Drosophila melanogaster: one gene and its partner. The protein of the gene in region 2 purifies or fractionates together with the protein of the main gene of each other region. This does not show direct contact. Each region holds a gene or a part of one and is shown on either strand. Other genes may lie near its edges.

What was found.
Region 1: the proteins of Pbp49 (region 2) and Pbp95 fractionate together in Drosophila melanogaster (co-fractionation; 4 studies listed by BioGRID, with this or other methods). This does not show direct contact.

The regions. Positions count from the first base shown.
Region 1 is NT_033777.3:8,009,052-8,018,603, forward strand, and holds Pbp95 (PSEA-binding protein 95kD), read left to right. Parts: upstream 1-4,739; 5' UTR 4,740-4,786; coding exon 4,787-5,248; intron 5,249-5,359; coding exon 5,360-5,915; intron 5,916-5,975; coding exon 5,976-7,123; 3' UTR 7,124-7,559; downstream 7,560-9,552. Other genes in the region: CG3223 (uncharacterized protein), read left to right, coding at 437-578, 652-1,068, 1,127-1,815; CG10435 (uncharacterized protein), read right to left, coding at 2,058-2,183, 2,244-2,666, 3,080-4,018; CG2747 (uncharacterized protein), read right to left, coding at 7,629-7,954, 8,389-8,409, 9,157-9,552.
Region 2 is NT_033778.4:8,127,371-8,135,757, forward strand, and holds Pbp49 (PSEA-binding protein 49kD), read right to left. Parts: upstream 3,954-8,387; 5' UTR 3,886-3,953; exon of another isoform or gene 3,803-3,885; 5' UTR 3,775-3,802; coding exon of another isoform or gene 3,322-3,774; 5' UTR 3,259-3,321; coding exon 2,125-3,258; 3' UTR 1,984-2,124; downstream 1-1,983. Other genes in the region: Socs44A (suppressor of cytokine signaling at 44A), read left to right, coding at 335-891, 954-1,425; CG42516 (uncharacterized protein), read right to left, coding at 3,322-3,774; Pabp2, read left to right, coding at 4,664-4,762, 5,020-5,421, 5,572-5,705, 5,771-5,810; Obp44a (Odorant-binding protein 44a), read right to left, coding at 7,140-7,526, 7,597-7,641.

The DNA of each region.
Region 1 (9,552 bases), on a different chromosome or scaffold from region 2:
TTTACAACTCGTATATTTAACATATTTGGAGCGGAAACTGTCAAAAATCGATAGGTCGATAGGGATTGAGGGTTTTATTTTGGGTCACCTTGAATTTCAATGGCTTTAAAAACAGTACATTTTAAATGAAATGACTTGAACAAGGTAAAACAAAAACAATAGCAAAAGTTACGTTTTCTTATTGTCAACAAATGAACACTTATGTTGAAAATTCGACAGCAATCCTAGAGCGGTATTTTTAGATCTAGCTTTTTTAGCCTTTTTTAAATCGTCGGTCGACCCGATCAGTCTGGTTCGGGCTATCGGGGCATGTAAGGGTCACCCTGTGTTCAAGGCGGTTCGTTGGAACCAGTTCCGAACTGTCTTTGAACAAAACAAAATCACCCAGACAAAATAGTGAATTACAAATATTACGCAGATTCTACATCAACGCACTATGCATACCGTGTACGCGCTTCTGAAGAACAAGCTGAGCGATGTGCATCCCCTACACAACATCGATCTGACGCGGGATGTGGCCTACCTAAAGGCGGTGGTGACCAAAGAGATGCACTTGCAATTCGACGCCAGCGAGTTGGGTGAGTGACCCTCGGGATTCAAATCGCTGTCCATTGTCTCTATTGTGTCAAGTCATTTGCTGCGCACTTGCAGAGATCATCCACCACGGACGCGTGCTGGAGGACGCAGACACCCTCAACCGAACGCTGCAGCCCAACGCCGTGATCCACTGCTTTCAGAAGATTAAACGTTACTCGCCGTATGTGCCGCCAGCCGCCGCCGAAATCAACACGAAGCATATTCAAGAGCTGTTTTCGTTGACCTCGCACCTGCAAATCAGCGTTACCTCGCGGTTCAACATTCTGCAGAAGATACTCGCTGAGTATCCGGAATTTAGGCGAAATCTGGGCGCCCAGGCCCTTATTCGCGACTCCGTACTGTTCAACATGCTGCACGAGCCGGAAGTGGTCCAAAATCTCGTTAAAGATTATCCCCTCATCTGCGAGGCCGCTCCATTCATAGTGGACACCATTCGCAAGGAGCTAGCCAGAAATAGCTCGGCCACGCAGTGTAACTAATGCCGTATCTATTCTTGATTTGTATATTTTACCCGTTTCTTCCTTTTTAGTGCAGGAGCAAGCTGCTTCGGAGTCTACTACTTCGTCAGAGGAGGAAAACTCTCTGGGTGCAGGCAGCAGCAGCAGTGGTGGAAGCAGCAGCACAGCCGTGGCAGCTGCCGCGGCCGCCAATCGGCGTGATGAGATGGCCAACATCCGTCAGATTAGCCGCCAGCAACTGGCTAACGCATTGGCTAACGTGACCCCGTTTAATTCACTGTCGAATATTGCGCAGAGAAACGCGGACGAGGCCGTGCAGGGTGATGAAAGACCTAGAACCACCTCGGCGCCATTAGCAGGCGTTGGAGGAGCAGCGGGAACAGGCGCAGGAAGCAGCAGTGGAGCCATCAGCAGCGGATCCATATCCTCAGAGTTGCTCCGCAACGAGCTGGCCCGCGCTTTTCAGTCCCTGTCGCAGGATCAACCGGCGCCTGTGGAGAACATGGAGGTGGAGTCCGGAGAAGGACCAGTACCAGAGCAAGCCGCCACAGCACCAGCCGATGATGTAGATGACGAGGACGATGGTGGAGACGACAGTGATGTGCTGCCACGCCGCTACCGTCGCCATCGGTTCACCGAACAACTGCGTACCATGGCCGCCATGGGCTTCATTAATCACACTCAGAACGTTAGTTATCTAGAACTTTCCGATGGGAATGTGGAACACGCTATTAATCTGCTTATGCTGAGCATGAATTAATAAGGATCGGAATTGACTAAAAAGCCAACATAATGTGCTTACTTTACGGACTTATATTTATTCTGCTGCTGAGGATTCTGAAGCATTAAACTCCCAACTTAAGCAAGGAATATCTCTTAATAACTTTTAATAATTAAATATACGTTTAGAGGAGTCATCTTTGTAAGCTAATTGGGGTGGGATTGCGGAGTTTGGGCATGGGGGTAAAAGCCGGCCGTACAAAAGGTTTCCACTAAATTATACTAGTTGATTAGATAGTCCAGCGCCTTGTCCTTATTATTGTTGAACTTGAGTAGCGCCGCCGAGATTTTCGATTCGTCAAAACCGAGGTCCAGAAGTTCTCCCAGTGGAATAAGGTGTTCGATAATCTGAAAAGACGTCCCAGATCGGAATAATGCATTTTGCAAAAGTTTTCGAAACTGACTTACCTTCTTATCGTCGATACCGCATAGACTAACCACCTTTGCCACCCGTTCCAGAGGGAAACCCATAGTACTGATACGTTGGGCCAACTTCTGTGCCGGACCAGCCAGCTCCCTAAAGGAGTTTCTGTCCACTGCCAACTCCACCGTTGGCTGCTGCTCCGCGTTGTGACTGTGCAGGCGGGTACGACGCTTCTCCGCCTGCTGCAGCTCCGTCTTCAGCTCCCGCAGGATGTCAGGCACACTCCTTGACTTCGTGGCTACCTCGTCCTCCGACTGGCTGAGCGCATGCACGGAGGAAGGCGCTGGAGGAGCCTTCAAAAGGTTTTGAGTCCCGAATCCATTGACTTGGTAGTTGCTAAACTGTTGGAAAGAATGCTGCTGCGGAGGGTAGAAGGGCTGGTGACTGTAGCCCTGCATGTGGTACACCTGCGAAAATAATAATTAGCCCATATTTTAAATCGGAGCGTCTGAAAAAAACTTATTTTCGATTGAAATAAAATATTGGGTATCGGACTAATACTTGGTTTATAAGACCATGCTAAGATCGTACTCAAGCTCAGTCAAAATATATTACACCCTCAATTGTGGTACTAATTAGTTTGAGCAATAGCCCCACCCTCGACTTGTGATGAGTTATTTATTTTTAGGTAATCTACCTGCAAATGCTCAGAAATCATCCCGATTAAATGGTATACTGTGAGTGAATGAACAATTTCCTCTTTTATTACAATTTAATGAGTAATGAGGATTGGATTTTGAGAATACAAGGATAGTGTGACATTCAAAAGAATCAAGTTAACATATTATTAAGGCTCTTTAACTAGTTAAAAGTGTCCCACCTGAAAGTGTTCCGGTTTATGCAACGGCTGCTGGGCGGAAGCGCTGTACATGGGCGTTAGGTATTGAGCCGTGGTTGGAATGTGGCTTGGCTCGCCCCTGTCCGCATTATCATCACAGTGAACATGGAAATTGACGCTGTCGAGCGTCGCTTTGGTCTCCGCCAGCGTAGTCATTGCTAGCTCCACCGGAGCTGGCACTTCATTGCCAGATTGCTCCTCCTTGGAATGATCCTCATGCGGCGGCTCCTGCTGCTGCTGATCCTGCTGCTGTTGATCTATGCGCTTCTCCAGCTGTGTCTGGTGCAGAACCTGAGCTAGTATGTCTAGATCGTTGATGGTCTTCAGCTCGATATTGTCGAAAGGTGTGGAGTTCATATTGTACTCAAAGTCTGCGTAGTTTAGGGAGCTGTTACGCTTGTGCAGCGTCTGCGGACTGACCACTGGAGTGGTGCTCAGAATGGTGGGCTGCAAGATATTGTGAAAATTACACACACTTATTGACTTTGGTTCGTGGGAAGAGTCGCGTGACTCAGCGGTGATTGGAGGTGGTGGCTGCTGTTGCTGTTCCTCGTCCCTCTGCTCGGGCTCGTTCTTCTTTCGCTCCTTCTCGTCCTCATCCGATGACAAGTCGTCCGCACTAGGATAATCAACTGCTCCAAGCATCTCCTTCTGTCTCGCCTCCAGCGCCCGTTGGCGTTCCTCCTTGCGACGCTCCTGGCGACTGGCTCGCTCCTCGCGCTGCTGGCGACGCAGGTGGCGCCATCGTTGCGCCTGACTCAGCACGGCCCTCTCCAGCTGACAGTCATACTGGTAATCCGGATGATCCGTGTAGAAACCTTCTCGGAATTGCGACAGGCGATTGAGGGTCGCCTGCGGCAGGTGGTACACGGCAGGCGGTGGTTTGTAGCGCTCGACTATCTTGACCGGGACATCTTCCATGTTATGCTAGCGCATTCACCACGAATTTTGTTAATTAAGTTGCTACTACGCGTTTTTTTTTCTCTGTTCTCTTTTGTTGTTTCTCGAGCAGCAGCGATAGGCGATTGGTATTGTCATCGGTCACTGCTGATTCGCCAATTTCGACTAGTGTTGAATATCGTTTTTCCTTGAGATGCTCACCTAATTAGGTGTACTCAGGCTTGGTTGCGAGTTTGACAACAGCTGATATTAAATCTACCCAAATTTTCGCCAATTTGAGGGCGTATGAAAGGCTTAACAAAAATCGGAATACATTAATAGTTTCTACAGATCACGTTATACAACATAAAAAAATTAAAATTACAAAACATTTTGACATACTAAATATTTTTTGTTACCAAGGGTATCATTATTTAGTGCATGGCGGATAGTTTTAAGATCTTTATTCTAAAAAACTATTTTTGACCAAACTTTTGTTTAAAATAATCCCGCGCTTTTACAACTGAGTTTATTGAAATCATGTTCTTTCCACTAGATAAAACCAAAGTTTCTGGGAATAAATAAGGACGAAAAATGGCAGTTATGATATCTATTTTATCTCTATCTATTCTTTAATAGGTCTTAGTCCAATAATACAGCAATTTCCTATGTAATGTTCAATGTTACTTTATTTGCAGGGTATTAATTTGCTTAATGCAGTTCGACCATTGCAACCATTTTATCGATAGTTGATGCCGGGAATAGTTCATCGCTAAAGTCAAAGGCAATGTAAACAAAACAACCTGAGCAATGGACGATGCCGATGATCTGCGCATAAACCAGCAGCAGCTTATGGACGAGATTTCGGCCCTCTTGCAGAACACAGCGAAGCCGAGCGCCGCCAACGCACTGCAGCTGAATCAGGAGCTCCAGCGCCGGCTCATGCAAGTCCGGACCAAAATTCTGGCCATGTTACAAGTAGTAAGGGCCCGCTTCTCTCGGAACGAGGACATCCTGGTGCGCCGGCTGCGACCTCGTTCCCATTTCGGCCCGAATTCCCTCAATCTTAGCGGGGCGATCCTGCGGAAGGGCACGTTTCGCTTCAAGGGCAACCTGTTTTTCCGAGACATCGATGGTCGAAGCTGTCCTAACAACGAGGATTACGAGGCGCGGTGCCACACGGAGATGTTTCCCACCGACTTTGACATGCACTCCAGACATGTATGGACATTGCTAGACAAAAAGAATGTGATAATGGGTATAAAACAACAGGTGAGTGGACCCTTCGAGTGGTTCAGATTGATTGCCAAATACCCATTTAATAGCAATGAAAAGTTAAATAGCAATACTAATATTCTGTTTTATAAAAAACTCAATTCTCAGTTACTGGAGCATAGGGCCCACAGTACGAATGCGCTGCCCAGCGGAAGCCTGAAGCGCAAGCCAATCGAGCGACACTTAAGTACACTGGTAAGTCTGCTGGCAACTGCGGATAGTAGCTTCAGCATCGACTGGAACCAGATCAGCACCCTGGACTTGGAATATCGGCACTCACCATATAGCTGTGAGGCAATGTGGAGGGTCTACTTAACACCAGATCTCAGGCGAGACGATTGGTCACCCGAGGAGGACGAAACTTTACTGGCGGTGGCCACTGCGAACAGGATGCAGAACTGGGAGTTGATAGCCGCGTCGCTAGACCGACGTTCCGACTATCAGTGCTTCGTACGCTTTCATACCGCCCTACGTTTTCTGCTGGAGCCAAAGAACAGCCACCGCTGGAGCGAAGAGGACAACGATAAACTAAGGGCGATCGTTGATAGGAATACGGCAAACAGTGTAATAAACTGGAAAAAAGTCGTGGAATACTTCCCGGACAAGTCCAAATCAACGCTGATTGGTCGTTACTACTACGTGTTGCATCCTAGCATCAGTCACGGTAGGTACCCAATATATTGAATAATTTTTAATTTATTATTTCGCTCCTTTGAAACTGCAGAACCCTTCACTACCAAGGAGGACATGATGCTGTTCGCCGCCGTTGAAGAGTACAATGGAAAGTTTCACTGTTTTCCGCGTTCTCTTTTCCCAAACCGGTCGTTAACCCAACTCCGAACTCGCTACCACAATGTACTGGCACAACGCAACAAGACCGACTCCTGGTCCGTTCAGGACGACACACGGCTGATGAGCTTCGTAACGCAATACGGGGCTTCCCAGTGGCTTAACTGTGCCACGTTCTTGGGCAATCACACGCGGACCAGCTGTCGAACCCGCTTCCTAGTCATCAAGAAATTCCTTGAACAAAATCCCAATGCAAAAGTGGAAGACCTGCCACGCCGCCGATCGAAGAAGGTGTCCTTGGTTAACTCTGATAACTGGGCGCAGCGTTTGCAAGAGTGGCAAGAGGACCCAGAGTCATTAGTTAATGATAACCCCCCGAAAGGAACTCGGGTGCGCGGTCCCAAATCGAAAAAGGCTAGGATCGAGCGACAGGCAGAGAGTTTCTCAAGACTTTCGAAAGTTGATATAGAGTTCTGCAACTTCTTTAAGTTTAGTTATAATCTGACGCTGAGCACTCCAAAAACTTTTCCAGTTCCAAAAGACGTTTATAACCTTGCCTACGTGATCAGAGCTCTTGCATATAAGCCACCAATTCGACCCTCGCTCTTACAAAACATATTTATGCCAAATGATGTGCTTAAGTGCTACAACAGCATGATCCGAAACCTTCCGGACGAGGAAGGTGATATGAAGAGCCCACTTTTGCCACCCAACTGGTCAACTATGATGGGGTTTCGAGCCTTATGCATTCTTTCCGGAGATTGTCGCAAGGATACGGAAACACGTAGCTTCGAATACAATGAATCTTTACCACCCATCCAGCTTTTCCGCAAGCGGTTGCAAGCTCTTTTCTATCGTACCACTCTTCTCAGCCGCTTGGAATCACAACTCTTTACGGACTTACCATCAGCATTAGTTTCTTTACCACGCCCCAAACACGATTATGCAAAAATGGGTACACATGTTGAATTAATCGATCCAGAGCCGGCACCACAGAATGATCTAAAATCCGAGCCGCTTAGCGAGAATGAAGTGATTAATACAGTCAAGCAGGAATTGGAAATGGAATATACAGTTCCATAGGAACTAATAAGTAAATATGTAATATTGATTAATTTAAGCTTTAAAAGTTTATATTTTTTACTTCATATCGCGTTATATAATAGTTCATTACAATGGCTAACAAATAATTTATAAACTTGTAGGTACTTTTAACGTATTTCACATACAGCAAAATCAAATGCCGGACCGATGTGCATTAGGGTGGCTCATTTTTCTGATTGTAGTTTAAAAATATTGCTTAGGTTTGAAAAAAGGTATATTTATAGCAAAACGCCCTGCAAAACGAAACAATTTAATACACAAGCAGTCAAAAAAACTAATGTATATTTTAGTTGCCGTTTTACAATCCTTTCAAAACTTTTATCCCGGATATTTAGTTATTAGAGCAAAATTGTCTAAACCTTATTTTCAATATAAAAAGAACCGATCCATCCTATTGTTCATGCGGTAACAATGTATTACAAAGCATTTTTATGATAGCACTAGCAGCTTGAGAACTATTTTGTTCGATTCCCGGGGGAGGCGCTCATTGGAAGTTACTGAAATCCGTCTTCAGCTTGATCGTAGGCTTCTGCGGCTTGGCCAGCAGGTTCCTCTGCGCCTCGCTTGCTTTTTGGGCAATGTTAATCGACTGCTGTTGGCTGCGAATGGCCGCTTCTAGTTTTTGTCGCAGTTCCGGTGTTTGACCCATCAGGGCCTTAAACTCCTGCGGATATTTCGGACCGATCTTCAGTAGCCACTGCAGCGCCTGGTCGTGCAGCTGCCGTTGATACTTTGGCAGCGTCCGGAGTCGACTGGGTTCCGCTAGGAAGCCAATGAGCACAGGGACCAACAGAGTCAGCATCTGAATATCTGTGAAGTGTGGACAAGGAACAATTAATATTATAATCCTAAGTTTAAGGGCTTGCTAAACGGAACATCAATTCACAGAGATGGACAAGTCGCTTCATCCCGTACTTTTACTTCATACGTGCAACATTTAAAGCGTAATTTTAATTGACAACAAGAACTAGGAACTATGCTATGGATTGGTGCATTGAAAAACATTGAGTGTGCAATAAACGTTGCAATTCATGACTATAAGGCAGTTAAGATAACATAAATAAAAAAACGAATAGAATGTTCATATTTAATGGTAGGAAAATAATTTCATTTCCATTTAGCAGACCGATGAAAAAGGAGTAAATTTACAACGCGTGTGTAAGTGTGAACAGTTATGCCTTATATTTCTGAAACGCTTTTTTGACATGAAACGTGTGAGTTTATGATCGAGCTCTTCTATTTACCTTGTAGCAAGTTCATGTTTCCTAACGTTTTTTTTTAAATATTATTTTTTTTAATGTTTTGTAAATGATTTGTGATTTGATAAAAAGAGAAGACAGAGAAAAGAGCAAATATATAATAACTTATTTCGTTTTCCCTTCCCATCGTGTGAAGTTTAAAATGAATGTACTTAAACCAATACTTTGGCTGCGTTCGAAGATATATTTGAAGAAAACAGATCGATACGACAGAACAGCCTAATTATGTTGGAAAGGGGAGTGTGTTAACTATTAAGGCGGGTAAGGGGGAACTGCTAGAACTATATTCTAAAATGGGGTACTCCTGCACCAAATGAAAGTTATGTCGAATTTTATCCTTTCTAGTCACAATTTAACATTATTCGAAGAAGTCCTTATAATCAATCAATGATCAATTTTTATTAGTTAGCAATCATTTAATTATGATATAGTCGAGTTCCTGGACTATTTAATATCCGTTAGACACGTATGGACACGGCCAAGTAGATTTGCCTTCTGATACTGAAAAAAAATGTATACACTTTATAGGGTCGAAAACGCTTTCTTCCACCTCTTTCATACTTTTCACTATTTTCCATGAATTATAATTCCAAATATATCCCTCCTAAATCCAAAGGTATAATTATTTAATCTAGTTATATAACATAAACAAAAACACGTTCTTAAGGTTAAGTATTCTTTCTCAAACAGGAGTACCCCGAGATTTAAAGAAGGACCAAGCTTAATGATTTTCAAATACAACCAGTTACTTACGGTTCTGCGGCTCCGACAAGTCTATAAGCTGCTCCACGGTAACGATGCTCTCCAGGGTGACCTGTAGCTCCAGTTCGCTTGTGGGCACCTTGCTGGACTCCGCATACAACGATTCGATTATCCTAGGCGCAAGTGCGTGGATGTAGGGTGTTGCCGTCTTCAATTCGGCCCGAGCGAAGATCGATCGCGTGGTCTCGATGCAGCGCAGCTTCACCGAGAGGTTCTCCGACTGCAGGCACTGCCGGAAGTGATTAATGCATGGATATTGCAATGAAGGTGTAGCCACAACGGAGGCGGGAGTATGTAGAATAAAAACAGTGATGGCCAGCAGCATAGTGACCTCGTCGACTTTCCTTTCCTCGTTATCGCCAGCCGTTTTGGTGAGATCCACAATGG
Region 2 (8,387 bases):
ATTAAAAAATTGCAATATGGAAAACAATATATTTAAGTCAACGAGATTTTACTTGAAATAATTTAAGTTAGTTTTAAAAATGCCTAAAGCAGAGGGCTGTAATAATGGATAAATTAAAGCTTTGCCTTGCAGAGAATTTAATTTTTTAAACTCCCCTATGTTATCGATAGCATTTACCAGCTACGCACGACCGATAGCGATAAGACAGTTCTTGTGTACAACGAAAACAAATAGTTCTTATCAATAAAGTTAGGCATTGATCACGGCTCCGAATTAGATCAATGATGTAATTCCACCACGAGGAAGCTCCGATCCGATCCGATTCCACTCCAAAATGAGCCACGGCGACCAGAGTCAAAACCAGAGCAGCCAGCGGAGCCAGGCGCTCACTGGCGGTGGTGACTCCCCGAGGGACAGGGAGAAGGAAAAGAAGGGCTGGTTCCACTCGCTGACCAGGCGCAAGAAGTCCGACTCGGCGCTGGCCGTGACTGCATCCGCCGCCGTCTCCACCAGTGGATCGCAGAACAACAACAACGAAGTGTGCGTCCTTGAGGCAGCGGACTCTTCCATGGCCAGCTGCAGCAATGGGGGCACGGGCACAGGAACTCTGCGCAGAAGGCGGGACAAGGACAAGCGAAACGTGTTTGCCAGACTACGAAGGAAGGTGGGCCAAGGGCTCAGCTCCCTGCGAAACTGGCACTCCATGGGCGACTGCGACGACGGCGGAACTACTGATGCCACCTACGAGTTCCTTACGCCGGCCATCTGTCCGGAACCCACGCTACCATTCACACACGACTACTTGCGCTTTATCCGGAAGAAATGGCTTGAGCGCGAGGACGCCCACTCGCCCAACCAGATCATGTACAAGGCCTGCTCCGAGATGCTCAAGTAAGCGCCGTGTTTCTCCGTCCATCAACGATCGATGACTCATGCCCTTTGTTTGTTTTTAGCCAAGTGTGGTACTGGGGTGAGATCTCCAGGCGCGATTCGCAGCGGCAGTTGAGTGACAAGCCGACTGGGTCGTTTCTAGTCCGCGACTCGGAAACCAGCGGATCCCAATTCACGCTCAGCTTTCGGATTGTGAACGTAACCCTGCATTATCGACTGGAATATCGCGACAATTTTTGGCACTTCGAGGAACTTAAGTACGAGTCCATTGTCGAGATGATCGAAGATATCTTGCACCGCTGCACCAACGACAACTTTGTGTGCTTTGTGAAGGTTCCCAACGAGATGCAGCCACCGTTTCCAGTGATCCTCAAGTACCCGTTGAGCCGGTACTCCAACATGCCCAAGCTGCAGGACTTATGCCGCCGTGTTCTGCAGCGCCAGATGTCTCGCGAACAGCTGGCCCAGTTGCCAGTGCCGGCGCAGATGCTGGAGTACTTGTCGGTGGAGCGGGAGCTGGTCTTCCAGAGTTAGGCAACCGCCGCCCGCCGTCGAGAAGCCGCTGGTCAAAGCTTTAACACTGAAGTAAACGCAAGCGCGTACACCAAAGAGGTCCGGGCGAATGGAATCCCAGCCTGCAGTTGTTCGTAATGATATTTGTTGGTCGGATTGGCAATATGTTGTTGATGCATTTCTACGCCCCAGTAACTAAGCGCACAGTCTCTCTTCACGTGCACGCCGGAATCCCAGTGCACAGAATTTTACTGTATTGTACTGCTAAGTACGGTTAGTACTAGTATCTTGTCTAGGATAATGTATTATGTTATTTGCCATATTTAGTCTATTGGTTTGTTTTATATGGGTCCTGGTCAAGTCTATACTCTGCACCACAGTGTGCAAATCCTTAAGCAAATTTTTAAACATTGAACTACTGCATATATGTATTAACGTAAGTTCTAAGCCAGATGTATCGTACTATTTACGTTGTTTGCATTTTTGTATTCCTAACTTGGACACTAACTTTTTGCTAATCTAGATTGCATGGAATTTAGGCAGCTTTACGGCAATCGAATACGTTCAATGCCAATTACTCTTGTTGCAACGTGTATGTATTTTATTTAAATCTATCTATGAATATTTTACAAGAACAAAATATCAATCAACTCCTTGAGCGATCTTGCAGTCAAAGGAGCTCGCAAATAAAGAAAAAATCACACAAATGTATATGTATATTCAGGAGGGGAGATTTTGCTGTTTAATGTCCTCCTCTTCGCCCTCCAGCTCTACATGGTCATACATGCGATAGGCTTTGAACTGGCCCAGCTTGACACCATCCACGTAAAAGAAGCTGAGAAAACATCTGCGGCACAGGTAGGAGGGATCGTGCAGCTGTCGCCGGGACTGGTTCACGATGAAGCTATAGCTGCGAATGCCGCACATATAGCAAGTCCTGCGATTAAACGTACTGAAGGCGTGAGGATAGGGATACAGGCTGCGATCTGGCCGTTTACTAAGTGGCGTTAGCACCTCTACCTGGGAGATCACAAACAGGTGTTCGCAATTGCCGTGGTGCAGGTAGTGTAGCGGTGATCCGGGGCTGACAGTGAGATCGATGAATCTTTTGCCCTCCATACTCTCCACCTTAAGCGTTTCTCCGTTCACTCCGTTCGCTCTGGCAGCCCACTGCAAGACGGTCTTGGAATAGTCGGGATTGTCCGGATTGCGCTGGTCGTTGTAGAATGTGTCGTTGATGAAGAAGTAACCGGGATTTGTGTCAATGGATGGCAACGGTGCATCTGGATCGTCGCTGATGTCGACAAACCGTTTTCCATTGCAAACGCAGCTGATCTTGTCCCGCAGCTCGGTCAGATAATTGCTGCCCAGACATACGAACTCCTCGGCGAAAACGGGAATCTCCACCTTAAACCCGCGATGGTAGGCCCGCGGTGGTCGATATAGACGCACGGTTAGCTCCAGTTCGCCGCAAGCATCGATGTGCAGGTTAGGCGAGTCTGTCGGCGTCGGATTCAGTTTGTGGCTGTACTGGGTGCGGCCAAAGGGACACTTACGGGACTTGTCCTTGTGCTGGCTTAGAGCAGTAAAAGTGGAGGGCACATGCTGGTTCTCCTGCGGCGGAGAAAAGGTTGGGCGGCATTTGTCTGCGGCGGGCTGGAAGACTGCAATCGAGCTGTCGTCTGGGGACTCGATCAAGTCCAGGGAACAGCTTTCAGACACGTCGACAAGTACTGGGTTTTTTTGGAGAAAGAAGGGCACTTCGTCTGCAGTACCGGATATTTTCTTTTGATAGTCGGCTAGAAAGTCTCGCAGGCTTAAAGCTGGATTCGTTGTAATATAGGTGGTATCCATGGTACTAAGAGGTATGTCTTGAAAGAGTGTTTTTTGTTCAGGATTAGACTCAGTTCTCCACACTCAATGATCTTCTCCAAACTTGTTAATAGCCTCCTTGTAAGTTATATTTAGCTTCAGAGATTCTGGCTTTGGCTCGGTCTGATCGTCCTCTTCAGTCTCAGCCGACTTCTCCACCTCCTGGTGCAAATTGTCCACGTAGACCCTTTCAAAAGATATCACCTTGGTGGATTTGTCCACGTACTGGTACCGCTGGCGACACACTGACTCAAAAAGCGGATCACTTGCCAGATTGTCTTTTTCCTTCTCAAAGAACACGTTGGTTCCCACGGAATGTTCGTAGCGTCCCCGATAAATGCTTCCATTTACCTCGGCCATGGGCGTGTCACTCTCGATTCCGATGATCTTAATGGCCGCGTCCTCGTGCTTCAGCTGGTGCGGATGAATGTGGTTCTTGAAATCCGCAAATACCAGGTACTCTGTGTCCTCGTACTCCGAATCGGAGGAATCGTTCATGTTCTCCTTTTATCGTTATGCATGGGCCCTGATTGATGGTTGAATGATGGCGTTATTTCGCAATATATGACTTCCTTAAACAATAATTTGTCTGATTCCCATTTACAAAACCTTGTTAGAAATGTGCGTGCACATTCCTCTTCTTTCCTTCCTATGGTAAATTTAAAATGGCATTGTGGTGTGAAAATACTATTATTTTTATCATCCAAAGAACTGCTTTCTTAAATACCGGCAGTTATCGATAGGTAAACCCACCACCAAACCATCGAAACTATCGAGGCGAAAACTGTCATCGGTAAAAACGAGGCGAACACAAATCTGTTTCAATTTGTGTCAAAAACTACGTACGTTTTCGTATAGTTGTAAATATTAGTAAATAATAAATAAATAAGCTTATAAATAAATATTTATGCTGACGTGGTGTGGCGCGAAACAAAGTCGAAAAGGGTTTAAAAACGTAGACTTTTGAACGAAAAACAGCAACCCAGCAACCCAGCGTACGTGTGTTTTCACAGGGCAGCCATTTTGGGCGAACTCAACGTCAGCAGAACGAGCTCGTAATTTGTACATTTATTAAACGTAAGTACAGTGTGTTTAATTAAATATCAGTGTAGTAGTGCGAACGCAGTGAAACCTAGACATTTCGGTGTCCGCAGCCTGAATTTATTTACTTATGGCTTGGATTTTCACTGCATTTGCATGATGAACTCTTCATTCGCGCTCTTAATGTTTTACGCTCTTTATGCTCACTTTCGCCGCCCTTTTCTCATTGACAGCTACCATACATACATAGTTACGACAACTGCCGTTTTGAGTACCACGCCGGAAGCTTTTGCGCCAACAAAACCGAGCTTTTGTAGCAGACGTAAACAAACCCAAATCCAAAGCAATGGCCGATGAAGATATCACATTGAACGAGGATCAGCTCCTGGAGTCATTGGAGGAGACGAACGGGGAGCAAGAGACTGAGATCGCCACAGAGGTCGAGGTGAGTTGGGGTTGCCCTTGTAGACAGTGCCCAAGAACCAGTTTCTTGGCCTCACGCCTTGCGAAAGCCCGCCGAATTCCCTGGAAAAGCTCGCAAAGCTTTGGGGGATATACAAAGCCGAAAACCGCAGCAATGGCTGCCATTTTCAGAGCGTCACTTCGCACCGCCACTCCATTCCATTGTCTGCTGTGGTTTCGGGCGTTTGCTCATCGCTCCAAATCAAATACCACTAAATTTCATATTTTCCTCGTCGCCAGGAGGAGGGCAGCATGCAAATCGACCCGGAACTGGAGGCCATAAAGGCTCGAGTCAAGGAGATGGAAGAGGAGGCCGAGAAGATAAAGCAGATGCAGTCGGAGGTGGACAAACAAATGGCCGGTGGGTCTACCACCGGCTTGGCCACAGTCCCGCTTTCTCTTGAGGAGAAGCAGGAAATCGACACGCGGTCCGTCTACGTGGGCAATGTGGACTACGGCGCATCGGCCGAGGAACTGGAGGCCCACTTCCACGGATGCGGCACAATCAACCGAGTAACCATACTCTGCAACAAGGCTGACGGGCACCCCAAGGGATTCGCATACATTGAGTTTGGTTCCAAGGAGTTTGTCGAGACGGCATTGGCCATGAACGAAACCCTCTTCCGAGGGCGTCAAATAAAGGTGAGTATCTGAAGCACTTTTTGCTAGTCCTGCTACCTATCAAACTCTCATGTACATATGTGGATAGAATGAGTCCTAGGGACTCCTACGTAGCGCAATTTTGAAAGCACATATTTAGAGTTGACTTTAGCTTAATCTATTGACTTTCAGGTAATGTCGAAGCGCACAAACCGCCCTGGACTCTCCACCACAAACCGTTTCGCACGCGGCAGCTTCCGGGGTCGAGGAGCCCGTGTCTCCCGGGCGTGCTGTCACTCCACCTTCCGAGGCGCCCGAAGAGCTATGTAAGTGGGCTCTGGAAAATCCCGATTGGATCGAGCTAATCCCGGTCTGTCTTTCGTTCCAGAAGGGGTTACCGTGGTCGCGCCAATTACTACGCTCCTTACTGATTATTGTTTTATTAAAATCCCTAGTAAGGTAAGTTGACAATTTCGAACTGAAAATAATTGATAGTTGAAATTTTATATGTGTGGGTTGCGTCCGATTTATGTCGGTTACATAAAGTAATCCGATATCTATCTCTTATATTTTGATACATTTTTTTTCTTAAAATTTATAAAACCAATGAGGACGTCTTTTTATGTTAAATTTAAGTTGTTAGAAAATGCCGTTTGTTTTTATGGAGCTAAATAGATTTAGTTTGCATAGCTGGTAGATCATTACGGGAAATAAAAACAATCAAATTTATGGTCAAAAACAGAATAATTTTCCGAACCCTTTATGGGAATACCTTGCTCTCATTCGCAGCGTGTTGGGTTTTATTATAATGCTTCCATTCGATTTACCGACTGTCGTCTTTAATCCATTAACTATTTGATTTCAGATTTTTTTACAATATAATTTCAAAAAACATTATTTTATTGCCAAACTTCTTTGCTAAATAAAAAAGAGAAAACAATCGCAACAGAAAACGCCAGAAAAAATATCGTTTCAATAAAAAATGCATCAGCAGCAAGAAAACAGGCGAAAAGAAGAGACCTCGAAAATAATAAAAAATCAACAAGGAAAACGAATATCTTGACTTGGCTATAATGTTTTTTGAAGCACCCAACACCAAACACCCCCTTTTCACACATTTTAATTTTCAATAAAACATCAAAAAAAAAAAAAAGATTATGAAAAACAAGAAGTTGATTTAAAAAACAAAAAAGTATATACAACAATAAGTATATATAAAAGAAGCGCAAAAGAAACCACAAACCCCAAATAAAAGAAGTTAAAAGATGGCAAAAGCAAATAAAGAAGGAAGAAAATATAAAAAAAAAATCAAAAGAACACAAGACTCTTGGGAAAGAAGTAAATCAACAAAATATATAAAAAGTGCGTGTGTAATTTATATATTTAAAAAAAAAATATATAGAGTAAAGAGAAGATAAGAAAAGAAGTTGAATTTACTAAAGCGAAAAAGATGAAGACAAATATAATCGAATTAAATAAGCTATCAATGCCTTTCCTTTGGGCGGGACAAGGTTTTTTGGGATTGAGGATGCGAGTAACAGCTTGATTCCTGCCACCACCAGCAGCCCTACCTCTCTTCCAGCCCTCAGAAATATTGTGAATAATAAAAAGAACATTCTTCATTCAAAAGCACTATTATATGGTTTTATTTCAATCGTAGGATTGCAGAGCCTGAGCGGATTTCAACTCGAAAATGCCGCGTTGCTTGCGTGTTGATTGATCTTTCGCTTCTAGAATTGATGTGGAACTGCGCTGAACTCCTAGTTCTTCTGGACGGCGGCCTGCACGAGGGGCAGGTTCTTGCCAAGGAAACACTTGAAGCCACGGAAGGCCCATTCGTTGGCGGGCGACTTCTGCTCGTTCTTGTCGGCGCACTTCTCGATGTCGGCCTTCAGCGCGGCCTTGTCCTCCTTGCCCTGGCCCAGTTGCGCCACCAGGTTCTCCACCTTGAAGCCCTTGGCCTCATCGAACAGGTCGAATTTGACGAAGATGCACTGGATGTAGTTGCGGGTGATGTCATCGTCGGGATAGTCGAAGGTCTTGTACTTGGCGATCAGGGCCTCGGTCACCTTGCTGCTGGCGGCACACTCCTTGCGCGCGCTCTGCAGATCCTCGGCGGTGCGCAGCTTGTAGTCGGAGGCAGAGGCCTGTCGAGGAGCAAACGGATGAATTTAGATTACTGGCTGCCATCGGCTTCTGTCTCCTTGCAACACTTACCAGACCCAGCAGGGCGCACAGCAGAATAGCAACAGCGTTCTTCATGGTGAATCTTATTTTTTTTGGCTTCTGTGATAGATTGTGTGAGGACTGAATGCTCGCTCGGAGGAAACTGTTGACTGTGGTCTGGGCTGCTCCAGCTTTTATACCTTCGAGCCCCGCTCAATGTGGGTATGTCGCACTCAACTGTGGGGCGATTTTGAGTGTCGCTCAATTGAGTTGCACTCGCCGGCGTAATTTAAATCTCATTATGGAATTTTTTGATAATGTCGAGGTTGTTGAGGAGACGAGAAATTAAGGATTACCTGATATATGAAAATGATATCTAGGATTGAAGAGTTTGCAGGGATACTGGCAATAGAGAAGAGCGGCTATGCCGCTCGGCTTGGTCTTAATGTTAGAATGCAGTATTTGGTTTTTACTACTGTTCAGCAGTAGTAATTTTCTCGATATAATTTTTCTTAGTTTTGTATATACCATTATCATGAAGCAAAAAAATTTTTATTTAAATGGCATTTACTTCTGGTTAAAGAGGATAACAATTATATTGTTTCTTTTTATATGATGAGCTAATTTGATTTTTCTATCCATTACATTAGCATTCCAAGAGAACGCATTACCAAATTTAAATAGAGAACAGGAAGGAAAGATATATATCATTGCACAATTTATATATCAAAACTAAGATTTTATTCCGCATAAAGATCATAGTGAATCAAAATGAACTGTGATTTAATTTCTGCCATTTTCAATTACTTTTCCGACTGTTCGGAATATATATTCGTCGGATT